Drosophila melanogaster: one gene and its partners. The protein of the gene in region 3 interacts with the protein of the main gene of each other region in a pairwise test. Each region holds a gene or a part of one and is shown on either strand. Other genes may lie near its edges.

What was found. Proteins that work in one complex are often made in the same cells at the same time.
Region 1: the proteins of KP78b (region 3) and muskelin interact in a two-hybrid assay, tested with the Drosophila melanogaster proteins (one large-scale study listed by BioGRID).
Region 2: the proteins of KP78b (region 3) and CG33109 interact in a two-hybrid assay, tested with the Drosophila melanogaster proteins (one large-scale study listed by BioGRID).

Annotation. Positions count from the first base shown.
Region 1 is NT_033778.4:12,628,155-12,634,001, forward strand, and holds muskelin (muskelin), read right to left. Parts: upstream 4,128-5,847; 5' UTR 4,003-4,127; coding exon 3,809-4,002; intron 3,727-3,808; coding exon 3,514-3,726; intron 3,452-3,513; coding exon 3,109-3,451; intron 3,027-3,108; coding exon 2,888-3,026; intron 2,832-2,887; coding exon 2,230-2,831; intron 2,167-2,229; coding exon 1,948-2,166; intron 1,895-1,947; coding exon 1,575-1,894; intron 1,523-1,574; coding exon 1,366-1,522; intron 1,304-1,365; coding exon 1,174-1,303; intron 1,119-1,173; coding exon 874-1,118; 3' UTR 543-873; downstream 1-542. Other genes in the region: CG17760 (uncharacterized protein), read left to right, coding at 40-147, 285-367; CG33792 (uncharacterized protein), read left to right, coding at 4,520-4,588, 4,642-4,800, 4,851-5,300; spt4, read left to right, coding at 5,523-5,591, 5,653-5,815.
Region 2 is NT_033777.3:14,220,018-14,223,402, reverse strand, and holds CG33109 (uncharacterized protein), read left to right. Parts: upstream 1-1,818; 5' UTR 1,819-1,823; coding exon 1,824-2,714; 3' UTR 2,715-2,843; downstream 2,844-3,385. Other genes in the region: Sp212 (Serine-peptidase 212), read left to right, coding at 1-651, 870-1,275; CG31326 (uncharacterized protein), read left to right, coding at 3,209-3,385.
Region 3 is NT_033777.3:11,347,097-11,355,045, forward strand, and holds the start of KP78b (KP78b), read right to left. Parts: upstream 6,036-7,949; 5' UTR 5,917-6,035; intron 4,067-5,916; 5' UTR 3,550-4,066; coding exon of another isoform or gene 1,432-3,549; 5' UTR 1,243-1,431; coding exon 1-1,242. Other genes in the region: KP78a, read right to left, coding at 1,432-3,549.

The DNA of each region.
Region 1 (5,847 bases), on a different chromosome or scaffold from region 3:
TGTCATATAAAGGATTTTATTCGACATCCTATTAACCAGGTCCAAAGAAGGATGCTAAGGCGGCCCGAGAATTCATATTGTACATGTTTACTAGCGTGAATCCTGATCCTTACAAGTGCATCTATCCTCATTTCACCGTTGCTACAAGTAAGTCAACTTTATATTCTGATTTTTGAAAAAAACACATCTTTTTGAATTCCTTGCTTGTGTTTTATTGTGTCTCAACATAAAAACTAAGGACGCTTTACACTCAATAACTAAAAAAGTGTTTTTTGGTTTTGTAGATACTGAAAATATTAAGTTCGTGTTCACTGCTGTCAAGGACACAATTCTGGAATTGCATTTAAGTGAAACTAATTTGCTGTGACCTCGATTTCTACAAAATGTCTATTTAAATCATATTGATGAGTAACAACCTTTGTGTATCATATTTTAAAAATAGGGAAATAAATGTATGTAAAACAGAAAATAACTTTTTAATTATTTATAAGTTTGCTATTATATTATAAACTGATGTATATTAAATGCGCCTTGTTGCTTTTGGACGTTAAAAAACTGTTTTTTATTTCAATCTTATGTTTACATATACAATCCATTAAATATAACTCGGTTTACATACTGTTCTTATTCAGCCTAAACGCACTAACTATGAATCCAGCTGCTTTTAGCCGGGGTTTCAGTACACGTGAACTATCACAATAAAATCATATATATGTCATGCTTTGCATTAACCGTAGAACCTTATATGGGCAAACAAGCGAATTAAACATCACATCATGATCAACAGTTTAAAACAAAACTCTCACACACTTAATAAGCTAAATATAATCTTGGATGGGGGCTCGTATTGAATCGGTTTTGGCACGTTAACATTTACATGACCACAAAGTCGCTAAGGTTGCGTTCAGGTTGGACCATGCTCGGTGGCATCAATTGCACCAGTTTATTGAACAGGAAAGCTCGCTTATTCTTCAGCTCGGGTGTGCAATCCGTCCGCGCCCTTTTGGTGCAGGAGGAGGAGCTCGGACTAGATGCAGTCTCCGAGATGCCAGAAGAGATCATGCTTTCGTTCGACTCCAGGGAGAGGTTCTCGGTAGCGGGTCCATCAGCCAGTTCCTCTGTAAAGATACAAGTTGAATTATCCAATACGAATTCATTATTGACTAATAAAACCTTTGATCTTTGCCGATACATCGGAATCCGTTTCGAGATCGTCTGCATCAGCACACAACGCAGGTGTGTTGCATTCTCTGTCAAGGTTACCATCATGGTTTTTGAAGAGTAAAGACGCAAGCTTGTGGAACTAAAATAATCAACTCAGATATAAGAAAGCTACAAAAATTGAAGTTCTTTTTTTAGACATACATTATTCAACTGCTCCGCATCGCTGTGATCAATGACATCGGCTATATGATGCCGTAAGTATTGCATTGCCTTTAAGGGATCTTGGCGCGTCATCTCCTCATAGCGCAGTTTACGCACCAAAAACCGACAATGCTTCAGGATCTCCTCTCGTTTGGGTCTAAAATATAATAAAATTATCATCGATTACATTCAGCTAGTAAATTACATACTTTTCCAGACATAAAAGCCAAAAATCATCAAGTCTCAGCTGCTGCTGCTGGCAGATTCCAGGATTTCCGCCAAACAAATAATGGGTATTGGTCACATCATCATAGACCAGCTGGTGGGCATAGCGAGGGCACGGCTCTAAGGTTCCATCACCCTTGCTAGCGCCCAAAATATTCATGTTGTTAATTGAGTTGGCATCCTGGCCACTGTGGCGACAGTAATATATCCTCGACCACTTGTGATTGCGCAAGGAATAAACCCAAAAGGAGTTTGATGCATCAATATGCTGTATATCACGACGATCCTTCACCTTACTTAGGCTCTAAAAACGAAGAAGTTAAATACGAACGCCGAAATAATGTCAGAACTACCTACAGAAAAAATATAAATTTCATCACGTTCACAGTCAATGGTGGCACGTAAAGTATAACCGGAGGAAGGTTCGAATTTGGCTTCGTTGCCAGCGATGGTTCCGTGATGCGGGTGCTCCTTGTTGAGAACCGATATGGCCTGGGTGTCTACATCGTAGCTAAGAAACTCATCCAGATCCTCCTTCCCTCGTTGTCCGCCGTATATGTAAAGTTTTCGATGTTTCTATAATAGCGCGTACAAATACATATATCTGTATACATAGCTTATAGAGTATAATTAACCTACGTTATGGAAAACCATGCAGTGTGTGATCCTGGACTTGATGGACATCACATCTGCCAGGGAAGCGCTGGCATGGTGGCAGTCCACCAGAATCTGAGCCCAGGTGTTCGTTGCTATGTGATAGGAGAACAGCCCCGAATATTCTGGTTCTATCGCTCCCGTGGCATTGACACTGCGAGGCGTGAGTATTTTGCCTCCGAAAACGTAAATTGTACGCTTATCGGTATCCATGCACATCTGGTGATCATAGACAAGCTGAGGACCACCCACTTGGCTGGTGTCATCGCATATTTGCATCCAGTTGCCAGCCCTCGTATCGTAAAGGTAAAAGTCGCTCTTTATATAATCCGAAGTTCGTATCGAGTTATCCAGGTAACGACCAAGCATGAATACATTTTCGCTGATGGGATCAAAGACCATTTTGTGACAGGATCGCGGTGTGGGTCCATTGGAAAGCTCTGACCTTTCGCACAGTAGCGTCCACTGATCATCTTCGATATTGAATACCCAAAGGTCGCTCAAGTCCTGGTAGCCATCCCAGCCGCCGTAGAGATAAATAAGTCTCCTTTTGGCATCCACCACCAGCTGGTGACCACCGCGATTGCCTGAAATAGAGGAAGTTAACTGCTAATGATTGCTATTTGGAGGCAAAAATAGTTACCAGGCTTTATGTCGCTTTCGGTATGCTTCATATGCCAGCTGTGCTTGTAGTCCTGCTTATGTAAATACTCATCCATTAGGCCCTCGTCTATGCACTCGACTATAAAGCGTTCAGCCTTCTCAAAGTCGCCCTGCAAAACCTAAGAACCAGTTTTTTTTATGAATTTAATACCAAACTTCAAAGGTTTATAGCATGATCTATGCTGGGGATTCCTTTCTTACCAGACACTTATGCAGTTCGCTGATCAGCGGGTGCTCCAGTTGCACATTCGTTTGCTCCTGGAGCGCCCCAAAGGCACTCAAATAGCCCTGCTGGCGGAAGTGCTTCAGACACAGCTTGATGATCTCCACCTCGCGCAGCGAGTTGTAGTTCTTCATGCGAGCACTGGTGTACATGGGGTCGTCCTGGCCGTGCAGCTCCACGTACCAAATGCTGAAGTTGAACGACGGACCCCAGGAGAGCAGGGGCACGATCTTGAGGTACAGTATTGGTAGATTTTCCGAACCGTCTTCGGTCAGGCAGCGCAGGTTGAATACTTCTGGCACGTTATCGTTTTTTAGGCCACTGGGAAAAATATTTGAGTTATATTAAATAATGCATTTCAGAAAACCAGCTGAATGACCTACCCCTCCAGCAGCAAAACCATGTGCTCATCGTCCAAGCCGCCGTAAACACGGAATTTCTTGATGTTGCACACATGCGATTTCTCGAACTTGCCAAACTTGATTTTCTTCACAATGGCGGGACGGCGCAGCTTCAAGGTGAGAAATTGCGGCGGGCTGTTCGTGTAGGCGGACCACCTAGATGTTTGGTCGTTGGGACAGTCCACCAGGACGTTTCTACGAATGGAAATTAAAAAGATGCCCGTTTAACAATTACGATATGCGAGGCATCCATTTTCTTTTCCAGATTAGTACTTACTCAGGCAGATAGTTTGGCGAGTAGCTGGAGTAACGGTAGATCTCAAAGTTCAGGCGCTCGGAAAGCGAAAAAGGCTTTTGGCTGCTGGTATTCGTGCCGGAGACCGGGTTTAAAGATGGATTAAGGGCCGAGGACAGCGCCACCGATCCGTGCGAGCTGTTGTCCGTGGGACTGGATGTCGAGGAGGAGGACATGGCGAGTTCTATTCCAACGATCCTAGCGGTAAAAGATTAACGGAGCTCGGCTGTAGCTGTTATTACCGTTCTTTCTTGTCCGTACTTTTGTGCTTCCCTGTTCCACACCCAAAACAACCGCGTAACAGCTGATCGCCAGGGGCGTAGCCGTTATCTCATCAGGGGGTCGATTAACCGATTGTCTTACATTACATTGGCAAACGGTTAGCATTTAACAACAATTAGCATTGTGTAAATAACCAATAGAATTAGGCTGTAAAATCAAAACAAGCAATCGACCTTTTCATTTTACGCTTTTTTACTTCCGAGCGATAGTGCATTTTTAACAAAAATTAATTTACGTTAAGCCGATTTTTTGGCTAAAGTGTAGATAAGTGTATCGTGGCGTATCGATTATTTATTTGAAAGCTGTTTGTTCATTCAACCGTGATACCTTTTTATCAAGTGTACAAAGTTATTAAAATGTAGTTAGCGTATGCTTTAAGTTGTTCGGTTGAAGTTATGTTTATTTGTTTCAATGATGGCAAAGTGGCTTGCTGTCTCTTGTGTGTACTTGGGCGTTTTATTATGCCTTCCAAATACCATTGTGCGTAAATAAGCCCGTATAAATACAGATTTCAAAAATATTTTAGTTTTTAGTTCTATTCCAATGGATACTTTTTCAAAATCAGAAAAACTGAGTGCATAGCAAACGGAGCATATTTCAGCAATGTCTCTTGCATTCTGAAGCCTGTAAACTGGACTCGATCGGTATTGAACATGGATGGTGACATAAAGGAGGCATTAACTGATATTAAGGTGAGAAGTTTCATTAATTTAAGTATTACAATAATAATGGAAATTTTCAGATGTCAGTAGAAGTGTTCTACAAGGATTCTTCGAATTTGTACAAGCCCTTCGCCGTTAAATTTAAATTTGATGTTTGCCAATTGTTAAAGAATAAAACGCAAAGTAATTTTCTGCAAAAATACGCTATTAGCCATTTGACGGAGTGGACTAATGTAAACCACAGTTGCCCATATAGGGTAAGCTTATGTATATATAATATAGTTAAATTTTCTCAATATATTGAATATATATATATGTTTCTAAAGGGTCATTTGATTGCGCGTAACTTTCGTTTGGACGAGGTCTCTCTGCCCATACTTCCAATTCAGGATTACAAAATTGCATTTAACTTTTCAGGAGCCAATCCAGGAATTCACTTGGGACTGGTTTTGATCTATTTTGAAATTCTAGAGGATTATTACAAGCAAAAAAAGAATAAGCCACTGCCCAAGCCGTTGAACTTTGTTTAAAATTCATATAGCTGCTAAGGAAATATACACTTTTAAAACACGTTTTAATACAAAGGTTAGCTTCGTGAAAATTCTTTTGACAATTTTTGTCGGGTGTAACCGGCGCCCATCGATATCGTAGATTCAAGAAAATTTTAGAGTACGGTCACTCTGTCAGTGTCGTGGCTTGGTTTTGCACGGATTTTGTATTTTTAGTTTTAAACCCATAATTGATAAGTAAATATGGCCTTTGACGCGATACCCAAGGATCTGCGAGGACTTCGCGCCTGCCTCGTTTGCTCCCTAGTGAAGGTGGGTTATATTTTGCCCAGACTCGACACACATTTTCATTGAAATCATTTATCGCCCGCAGAGTTTTGATCAATTTGAGACTGATGGCTGTGAAAACTGCGAGGAGTTCCTGCGAATGAAAAACAACAAGGACAATGTCTATGATCACACTAGCAACAACTTTGACGGAATTATTGCCCTAACTACGCCCACCGACTCCTGGGTGGCCAAGTGGCAAAGATTGTGTAAGGCCTGAATGACTTCCGTTCCAAAAGGG
Region 2 (3,385 bases), 2.9 Mb from region 3:
CTATCCTACCTCATCCCGTGGCAATGATATCTGGCGTGGTTTTACACAGCCCTGGACGACTGTGTCCAACAGAAGCCCAGCAGTGGTAACTCCAGCACCCACTCCAACTGAGATTTTCTGGAATCAACCAGTACCCAGTGTTCCAATCACTTTTGCGCCACCTGTACCAACTATTACGAGCAGCCCAGCACCAGCACCACCACCACCACCACCACTTCCAACTCCACCAGCAGTTGTAACCGTTCCGCCAGCTACTCCACCACCTCAACGCTTTGATCCGCGATCCCAAATATCATCAGTAGTTTGCGGTCGAGAGGGCAGCACAACTCCGTTTATTGTGCGTGGAAACGAATTCCCTCGAGGACAGTACCCCTGGCTATCGGCCGTCTATCACAAGGAGGTTCGAGCTCTGGCCTTTAAGTGCAGAGGATCCCTGATCTCGTCCAGCATTGTAATTAGTGCCGCCCACTGTGTGCATCGGATGACGGAGGACCGCGTGGTCGTCGGACTCGGGCGCTATGATCTGGATGACTACGGAGAGGATGGGGCCGAGATGCGCAATGTAATGCGATTGCTTTGGCATCCGGATTACAATACCCGGTCGTATTCGGATGCCGATATCGCTTTGATCACCATTGAACGGCCAGTGACGTGAGTATTTAAATAATTATTAGTAATTTAATTTTTCACTCAAGAGATACAAAAGGTATATTATAAATCATTTTACGATGGGCATTCCCGTTCAAATATTATATTTACTCTATCACAATATGTGCTTCTCACAGAAGGTGATAATTTAATACTCATAACATGCGAAAAAATCTCTCTTATAAAGTTCATATTTTAAGGACTATCATGTTTTCTTTCAGGTTTAACGACATTATTGCACCCATTTGCATGTGGACGGTGGAGGCAAGCAGAACGGTGTCCACCACTGGCTTTATAGCGGGTTGGGGGAGAGATGAGGACAGCTCCAGGACCCAGTATCCACGCGTGGTGGAGGCGGAGATTGCCAGTCCGACGGTCTGCGCCAGCACCTGGAGGGGCACCATGGTGACGGAGCGAAGTCTGTGCGCGGGAAATCGCGATGGATCTGGACCCTGTGTCGGGGATTCCGGCGGTGGACTGATGGTCAAGCAGGGCGATCGATGGCTGCTCCGGGGTATTGTGTCTGCAGGGGAACGCGGACCTGCCGGCACCTGCCAGCTTAATCAGTATGTACTGTACTGCGATCTTTCCAAGCACATCAACTGGATAAGCGAAAACATTCGCTGAGCATCCGGATTTGCTTTGTGGACAATCAAATTAAAAACTTTAATGCCAAAAGATATTTAGATGTTTCACTGTCTGGTGATTTTCGGCAAAACGAGTTTGCGCCTCCCATCTTTCACTTATTTTATTGGCAATGATGGATGATTGAAAGGCAAAAAAAAGTACAGATAGGTTGCTACGTGCTGACAATAAAATGTTTGTAAAAAAATAACTTTAATTGTTGAGATGTACTTCATTAATAGTTCATCTATTTTAGGATTTAGCAGCGGCCACTTTTTTTTTTTATTGGTAGAACCGATTGATTGTTCTGGCTAAAAGACACAACTGACTTTTTCGCTAACTTTCTTTAGCTAATATCTTACAAATTAATGGCCATGTGTATTGCATGTATGACATAAAAGTAAACATATATGCCCACGTATTGACTGCTAAATGATTGGCATCGGCTGAGCAAATGTTTGGGAAGCGTGCTGCACATTTAAGTACCCAATGTAATTGGCTATAAAAGGCCTGCAGTACGATATATAGACTCTTAGAGGCCTGGTATAAAGATGAAGTGCAGCGGCTTTCTAATCCTCCTGGTGGTCCAGTTTGCCTGGAATGACAGCGTTCTGGCAATAGAAACTGCTTTTGATATCTGGAATAAATTTGGAGATGGTGGAGCTCTGCCCAATGATCCAGAAAGGCTAAACGAAAAAGGTATTTCGGTTCTAAGTCCAACTAACGACCTGCAAAACAAGAACGAAGGAACGATAACGCAATTGAGGAATCTTCTTGACAATTATGTGGCAAAATTATTATCCGATTTGCCCAATACTCGGAAAAAGAAAAGGAGACAAGGCCTGCAGGAATCTCTGCAAGCTCTAACTGGTCTAGGTTTGAGCATATCTCCATTGCTAAAATTCCTAACGAACATCAAGGCAGAGGAGGAGCAACTTGTCTCGAAACTTAATGTCCAGGAGGAATGGAAGTTCTGGGCTGCCGCAAAGGTGTCGAAAGTTCAGGAGTCGACTAAAGGTCTTAGAACCGCGGAGGCTGTTTCCATCACTGAAAACTTCAACAGTCGTTACGGCCTTCGATTGCGTAGTTGTGTTGGTCTGTTTATCTGGAATCAGATTCGGTTTAACTTGGACTTGGAAAGTTCCCTAAATGGCCTGCAAAATCCAACGGAGCACTTGATCGATGTCACTGAAGGCTGTTCCAGCGTTAAGCCAAAAAAGTGCCGGCGGAACGTCAGAAGAGCTATCGATGGCATCCAGAATGCTCCACAGAATTTGCTGAATCTGCGGACTAAGGGCAACCAGTTGGAGGACATTCAACGGCAAAGTAATCAGTGTGTGGATAAAACTGTTAAGGAATACACTGAGGAGCGGGTCGAGGTAGAAAGACAGCTAGATGATATAATCGAGGATTATCTTGAGAGTGAAACATTTACCAAATAAGTCGGGATCTATACATTTAAAATCAGATATTATTTCAATAATCACTGGCGAACATATAGCAGAGACAGCACATAATTAGGAACCTTTCGCACCAATTATTATAGAAACAAATAAATAAATATGAGATCCATTAAATATGTTTTATGATAAAGGAGCAGAAAATCAAAAATTAAATCTTTTAAATACCTACTGTGAGAAAATGTTCATTCATTGTCTTTGTGCTGTTAATAAAGTTATTTTAAGAAAAGGTAAGTAATATTAATGCATTTTTTGGCTTAATGGAGCTTAGCATGTGGAAGTGCAATTTACGCTCGAGAATTTAGCTCCAAAAACTGAATACTTAAATACCCACAAAGTGGGGAGAGCCACTGACTATTGAGAGACTTAGATCGGGTATCAATCAGTGCTCATTGAGTGAGTCTTTTGAGTTTTAATGCGAGTAATTAAAATCTCTATAAAATAGACTGGAAAAGCTCAGCTCATACGTAGTTGCAATGAGTCCGCATCAGCTGGTGACCGTTCTCCTTCTGGCTTCTCTGATTAACTTGGTTCTTGGCCAGTTGCCCCGGAATGGCTGCTCTGGGCGATTTCAATACCAGGGCTACCAGGGGCAGTACATCGGTTTGGTGGAAGTTCGTCATCCGGAGGCCAATAACCAGACACTCATCCTT
Region 3 (7,949 bases):
TATAGTAACATTGGGAGCAGCTATAGGGACAGGAATCCGACTGCTGCCTGGCATAGCCGTAGGAGTTTCCCTAAACGAAGATCCCGATTTCTCGCTGCAGGCTGTTGAGCGCGGTTTAGCAACGTCCAGGAGCATATAGGTGCAATAGATGTCGTCGAACTTCTGGTTCTTCAGCGACTGCTCTACATCACGAGGTTTGTGACCCATGTTCGACAGCAAACTCAATCGATTTACATCATGCAGATCCATAGGTTTCTCTTGAAACGGTCTCAAACCGTTACCTTGTTCGTAGCCCATGTTGATCCAGCGATCCGCCATGACAGCCGATAAACTAGTACGTTGCGTTGGATTCAGAACGAGGAACTTCCTAATAAGACTCTCGCATTCAATGGAGACGTAATACGGAACACGATACTTGCCACGTAGAACACGGTCGCGGAGCTCCTTCAGATTGGTTCCATCAAAGGGTAAGGAACCACTCACCAAGGTGTACAGCACCACACCCAGTGACCATGAGTCCACCTCCGGTCCAGAGTACTTCTTTCCTCTGAACAGTTCTGGGGCGGCATACGGTGGACTTCCGCAGAACGTCTCCAGTGGCGCTTTTGGTTCAAACGTGGTGCTGAAACCAAAATCAGCGATCTTCAATTTCATTTGCTGGTCCAACAACAAGTTCTCTGCCTTTAGATCCCGATGCACAATGGACTTGCTGTGACAGTATTCAATAGCAGACACCAACTGGCGGAAGAGCACCCTGGCATCTCGCTCCCGCATCCTTCCGTTTTTGACCAGATAATTGAAGAGTTCTCCCCCGCTGACATACTCCATTACCAAGTAGAGAGTCCTTTCCGACTCGATAACTTGCAAGAGGCGCACAATATTCGGGTGGTTGAGCTTTTTCATTATATTTACCTCTCGGTACAACTTCTGCCGGGCAATCGTATTTAGCGCAGTTTTATCGATCAGCTTAATGGCCACTTCCCGACCGGTGGGCAGATGAATCGCCAACTTGACTTTCGCAAAGTTGCCCTTCCCAAGGGTCTTGATGATCTTGTACACTCCGTAGCCGTTGCCATTTACATAGGACTGAAACTTAGGGCTCGATCTGCCTCCACTGCTCCCAAAACATCCCCCCACATTCTGGGCAGCTGCAGAAGGGGGCGTGGCGGTAGTGGATATCGATGTATTGGGACCGGGATCGTTCTCCTTGTCGGTCGTTTTGTTTGTGTTTGCTGCCGTCATTTCTGGTAGGATTAATTTATCTAAATCCCAGCAAAGCGTTCGCCGCACACTTGTAAGACAAACTGATTTGCTGAGTTTTGACTTAATTTCGTTAGAATGCTCGGTCAGGGCCGACTGTATCACTTTCTTTATCACTCTATCATTCTATCTCTATCACCTTGACATTGCCCCAAACAACCCGACTTCTGGCTATTTGGTGAGGTTCTTGCGCTGCTCGGTGACATCCTTTTCGTTCAAGTGGATTACCCTTCGACCGAAACGTGCGGTCAGCTTGGAGAAGAAACCTACCCGCGAGGCGGGCTTGGTGTCGTCCGCGGATAAGGGTGGCGTCTGATAGCTGTCCTCCTCTCCGCCTGCGCCATTTCCTGATCCACCGCCCCGTTTGCCACTGCGCGCTTGGCCGAAATGAAAAGTGGCCCGTGCCACATTTTGTCGGGTGAAGGGCTTGTCGGAGGTCTTTTCCACTGCTCCACCTCCGGGAATCCGTTCTAGCAGTCGAGCACCCATGGCCGGCGACTTGGGCACCAGAAGTGGAGTGACTGCAGGTTCCGCTTTCTCGTACAGGGTCGTGGGCCGCCTGGAGGATCCCTGAGCTTGATTCGGAGTTTGGGCAACGGGGTACTGGAAGCGCGGAGGAGTGTTGGCCAGCTTTTGGGTCTGGGCCAATTGTCGCTGGGCACTCAGCAGCGTGGGCTTCACATCCATGTTGGCACTGGCTCTCTTTGACTGCGGAGTGTGCGGAAGACTCGAAGGCTCCGGACGTCCTTGGCCGCTCGTATGGTTGGTGGCCTTCCGGGCTGGTGTCCTGGCTGGAGTGCGTCTTGTGGGCTTGGCAGGCGGTCCCGTTGGTGGCGTTGAAGTCGGTGTATTGGGTGCATTTGCCAAACGTGGCGCAATGGGTCTACCCGATGCTGAGGAGGAGTGGATGGGCGGATTCTTGTCCAGCGCAAGCGTGACATGAGCTATGGTAACAGTGGGTGTGGTGATATTAGGAAGCGGGCTACTGACAGCTGGAGTAGTTAAATCCACTGTTGGTATAGCCTCCGGTTTCGTACTGCGGTTCGAGGAGCGCGGCTTGGCCACGCCCAGGAGCATGTATGTGCAATAGATGTCGTCGAACAGTTGCCCCTTTACAGACTGCTCCACATCACGGCGCTTGTGGCCCATGCTCATCAGTAAATCGAACCGGGCTGCATCCTGCAGCTCCATGGGCTTCTCGCGAAACGGACGCAATCGGTCGGATTCATCGTGGCCCAGATTTATCCACTTATCCGACATCACAGCAGAAAGCGAAGTGCGCTTGGCGGGATTCAGGACCAGGAACTTTCTCATTAGGTTTTCGCAGTCCATTGAGATGTAGTAGGGCACACGGTACTTGCCCCGCAGGACTCTTTCCCGCAACTCCTTTAGGGTGCCTCCATCAAAGGGCAGCGAACCGCTGACGAGAGTGTACAGCACCACTCCCAGCGACCAGGCGTCCACCTCCGGGCCGGCGTACTTCCTGCCCATGAAAAGTTCAGGGGCAGCATATGGTGGACTCCCGCAGAACGTTTCAAGCTGGGCGTTGGGATCGAAGGTATTGCCGAAGCCAAAGTCCGCTATTTTAATGTTCATGTGCTGGTCCAGCAACAGGTTCTCCGCCTTCAGATCCCGATGAACCACAAACTTGCTGTGGCAGTACTGAATGGCGGACACCAACTGTCGGAAGATCACCCTGGCATCCCGCTCCCGCATCCTCCCGTTCTTCACCAGGTGGTCGAATAGCTCGCCACGACTCGCGTACTCCATCACCAGGTAGAGTGTCCTCTCAGACTCGATGACTTGGAAGAGGCGCACGATGTTCGGGTGGTTCAGCAGTTTCATGATCTTCACCTCGCGGTACAGCTTCTGACGTGCACTCGTATTGAGCTGCGTCTTATCGATCACCTTGATGGCCACTTCACGACCGGTGGGCACATGAATCGCCAACTTGACCTTGGCAAAGTTTCCCTTACCGAGTGTCTTGATGATCTTGTACACACCATTGCCATTGCCATTTACGTACGATTGAAACTTGGAATCCGTATTTTTACTACTACATGCACCGTCACCCAAATCCTGGCCAGCTGCCACAGTAGGCGTGGCTGGTAGGGCGGTGGCATTTGAGGTAGTGGGCGTGGCTGGCTGAGCAGTGGCGCCTGTTGTGACGATAGTACCCGTGAAATGGGAATCCGGATCGTTCTCCTTGTTTGCTGCTGTCATTGCTGTTTTCTCACTCTCCTTACCCGAAGATAAGTCTAGAATTCCCAAGCTGTTGTCCACGGACATTATAATACTGGGAATTTTGGAGCTCCTAGTCTGAGGTCGATTCTGATTGCCCAGGCGAACGTTGCTCCTATTCAGTGGATCTGCAAGTGTGCCGAGCACGCGTCGTTGGATGGTAACTATCGCCTCCCCTCAAGCTGTAATTGCTGGGTTTCGTCGGTCATCCGTCATCGGGGCCGTTGTTTGCACATCTGCTCTATTTCGTCACCCTCCCGACAGTCTGAGCTTTAAGATAAGAACGCGTGTTTGCAACCCTCAGCCACCCCGAATCCCGTGCATGGCTGATAAGCGGCTCGTCCTGCTCCTTGCGGCAGGATCACTTTGTCTCGACGCACGACCGCATGAGTCGTTAGTTCTTTCAGGAGGCGCTATCAACAACCCCCTGCTTCATGTGGCACGAGCCCTTTGTGATCCTCCGGTGCGATCGTGTGCCCCTGTTGTTCTTGTTTGCGACTGGCGAGGATATATCCCAGCTGGTGGTATTCGGTTTCCTTCGTCAGCGAGGAGTAACAGCTGCCTTCTGGTGAATGGAGAGAAGAATGATTCGATTAGATGTTGGAAGTAATCGGAATCGGGAATTCAATGGTTGCTCTTTATAGAAACTCGGTATTAGGGTAATTTCGTTTCAAATGAATAAAACTAATAGTTAAATGTACATTTACAACCGAATTAGCAACCTTTTTTTTTTCAGTGAAAATTTGTTTATTTGACTAGTCCCAAATTATAAATTGTAAGGGAATGCCAAAAAAAAAACTATCAAAAATATGACTTATTTATTATACATACGAATTTTTGTTTGCGAGAGTATATATTTTTATCCGTATTTTTCTAATCACTAAGAAAGTTCACAGAAACATTTGAATATTGCATTACAGTTCGTATTTGCTCTTATCGACAAATTTTAAAACTTGACTTGTATTCATAATATAGTGACGATCTATCAAATTATTTCTATAGACCTTGCACCACTGTGCACTAAGTGATTTGCTCTCTCCCCTAACAACAGAATTTCAATCGACCTGAAAAACTAATCTCTTCCCTTGTGACAAAGTATTTTCTTCGCCTCTCTGTTCTTTCAATTTTATTTTTTGCATGTCCTGCCGATCCCTAGCTACACTCACACACGCACACACACACATGCACGTCATTACCTATGATGAAACTACCCTAATGGGTTTTACCTACCTATGGATGTATTGTAAAAAATAAAGTACTACAAAGGAACGGGTCCTTAATCTGCCTTTTCTTTTGGCCTACTCGTTCGCTTGCATTTCTCTCTTTTGCTTTGCGTTTGTGTAACGATTTCAGGTTTTCTCTGCCTGCTCCTTTGTGTGCGTGTGTGTGTGTGTGTGTGTAAGGGCCTGCGTGTCCTTGATCCTGCTGACTTGTTTTGCTTGCAACCTTTTCTCGTCATCCCTGCTTTGCCTTTTGTCTGGTCTCCTTTTCCTCCGGCTCTTCGCTTCCTTTTTCAGCTCCTTTGCGTATCCCTCTCTCACTTACGGTATTTGCGTATGTGTGTGTTTTTGAGTTTTTGTGAAATGTTGAAATTTTGAAAATGCAGCTGCTACTTTTGGGTCTTTGTATTTATTATTTTTGCCTGCTCTTCTTGTTTTGCTTCCCCTATCATCTTCTTTTCTCTTTTTCGCAATAACAACATCGCAGATCTGTGGAAATTTGCAATAACAACAACAGTAACAACAAGTACTTGGCTTGGCTTGGTTTTAATTCTGGGAACTGTGATCTCTTGTTGGGCTAGTGATCGCTCCCCTTTTGCCGCCAAGTTCAATGCACCCCACCTAGAGTTACCCCCACTTTTCCCACCCCACACCAGACCCCCCTCTCTCTCTCACACATTCTCTCGATTTTCCCAAGATACCAACACATGTCAACATGAACATGTGCGGGTCTCGGTCTCCCATCTCGTTTCCCCCTTTTTCGCCTTTGTTTTTCTGCCTGTCCATGGGATCTTTGGCTTGTTTTTTCCGAATGCGCCTCTCCTCTCCTTCCTTCTGGCTTCTTCTATTTTGATTCTGGTTCTCTGGCCGTTCTTCTTTGTTTTTTCCTTAACCACTGAGTCATCGGCGACTTTGGGGATCTTCAGGCGCCTCATTCTGTCTGGCACTCATTCGTTAACACACTTACTTCGCACAAAGCGATACAGATACATACAGTTGATCCATTAGCTGACCTTAATAAAACGCCTCTTGTATTGAGATCCAAAGAACGCCCCCCTTAAAGACACGCACAACGGACGCAAGATAAGGCATTCTGGTACCCAAGGGATACGATCGGACTTATCTGACAATGGATGCGAAACTCTGGAACTCACAGTGACCACCGCGTGCTTGCTTAATTACGCTCTTTACTTACGCATCGGTCCATTGGCGATCCCCCCTGGCGGCAATCAAAAACGAATTAGCGTTAATCCACTCCACAAGTGTACCATATCGTTTCGTATCCGTATCGTTGAGCGAGACCGAACTTTCAGATACAAGGCGCGCCGTAGTACTGAAACGCATTGAGCGGAATATCTGAAGACAGGTCTTGAACTGGAACTGAAACGTCTGAGACGGGCTGAGCAAAGAGAGAGCGAAGAGCGTCTTTGTGCTCTTCTTACGCTCAAAAAAATGGCCAACTGATTGCGATCGTGTGCTCGTGCAGCGGATTTGAAAAGAAACGCATTATTAAGATTTACGCCTGCTTCAACTTTTCTCTTTCGTCGTCTTTAAACATAAAATTTAAAAAGAGAAAATTAAAATTTTAAGCAGTTTGATTTTCTCTCTTTCTTTTCACTCAATTTTTGAATTATGTTGCTCTTCCTTCTCTCAATATCGTTTCCTTGAGCGTTTCTTGAGGTGTGACGTCACGGATGCGAAGGGGAGGCACTTCGGGTGTTTCGTGCTTCGTCTTTGTTCGTCTTTGCGGCGAATTTGGCCTTTGTCGTGGTCTTCGTCTTCGTTTGAGTTTCTTCATTGGTATGGGTTATCTTGCGGTGGTGGTGCTGGCGACTGCGATGGTGTATGTGTGCCATCAAGACTTCCCCATTCGTCGTCAACAGCTGTGTCGTCATCGTGTCATCGGTGTGGGAGTAGCCGATGGCCATATCTGTCTGAGCTGTCCGAGTGGTATTGGTGCACCAATAAGAATCGGCCAGTGGTTCCAGTGCTTCTTGAATAACAGCCCCATCCCCCGCGACCATCTCAACGCAATCCGTTGGAGCGCTCTGTTTTGGTAGGGAATGATTAAAAAGTCACCACAACAAATAACAATAATAATAATAAAATGCATTTCTTTTGGCCCGCAAAAATTTCTTTCATTTGGGCATCGCTTTGGCCGGCTGAAAGGAAAAATTATAATGACAAAGTAGGCGACAAGAAGGATTGGATGGGTGGGTGTTGGTTGGTCCGATTGTAGACGTAGACGATGATTATAATAACAGTTTTCTGTGATTTCTCCTCGATTCCCGATTCGTAGTCCCCTCCTTGAAGGCAGGGCTTAATTAAAAAGCTTTTGGCCATTCACTTGGAACAAAAATTAACCCTAACTTCAAGAACATTTCCATTCAAAGTGCATATCGTTTGAAGGCAAGAAAATGAGAACTTTTAATTCATCGCCATATTCAAGCACTTTCATTTCAAGAATTAAAAGTCAACTTAAAAAAGTGAACTTATTTGAAAGAAATTTTTGCTTGCCAGTTGGAAACTAACAATATTCTCTTGGCTTTGAGATTCGAAATTGAAGGTGTTTTGGGAATTTTGGTGGGGGAGAATTTGCATTTAGATGAACCGAAGAAGCCAAGACAAGTAGGCCACAGTGAAATGCTAATGAGAAAGCGGGTAATTCAGCATGCAGTCGATAAGGCGGCTGCCTTTGGCAAAAGTATCCGCCAGATACACGTGGCACGCACACCAGCTGACGCCCCAAAAAATAGGTGAACATAATGCGATCCGACCGACGAAATCACAGTTGGCCACCAGAGGACACGCGCCACCTGATCAGGATGCGATATCTTTCTTCGGCAATATTTGATCGTGCTGAATGCGGAAAAAGCAGATTGCAACTGCAGCTGACTTCGAATGTGGACAAAGGGATCTTCGGCAAACAAAGCAGCCACAGGATATGCGATACAGCCACTTTTGCACATTGCCCCGATGAGTTATGGACTCCAGATTGCGGACCCGAAAAGGGCAGCTTCTTGACAGACAAATGCGGGTGCATATCGATTTCGACTTCGGATCGGCCGGAACGATGACTCCTTGGGCCGTGATCTGCATTTTTGCGTCCTTCTTGCCGCATCGCGAAAGGTGCAAAACGAAGGACGAACGTGCCGCAAAATCTGTGCGGCGACTTAGGTATTTAATTGGGTTTTGCGTTTCACTGTCGATATTCAATAACAGCTGGCT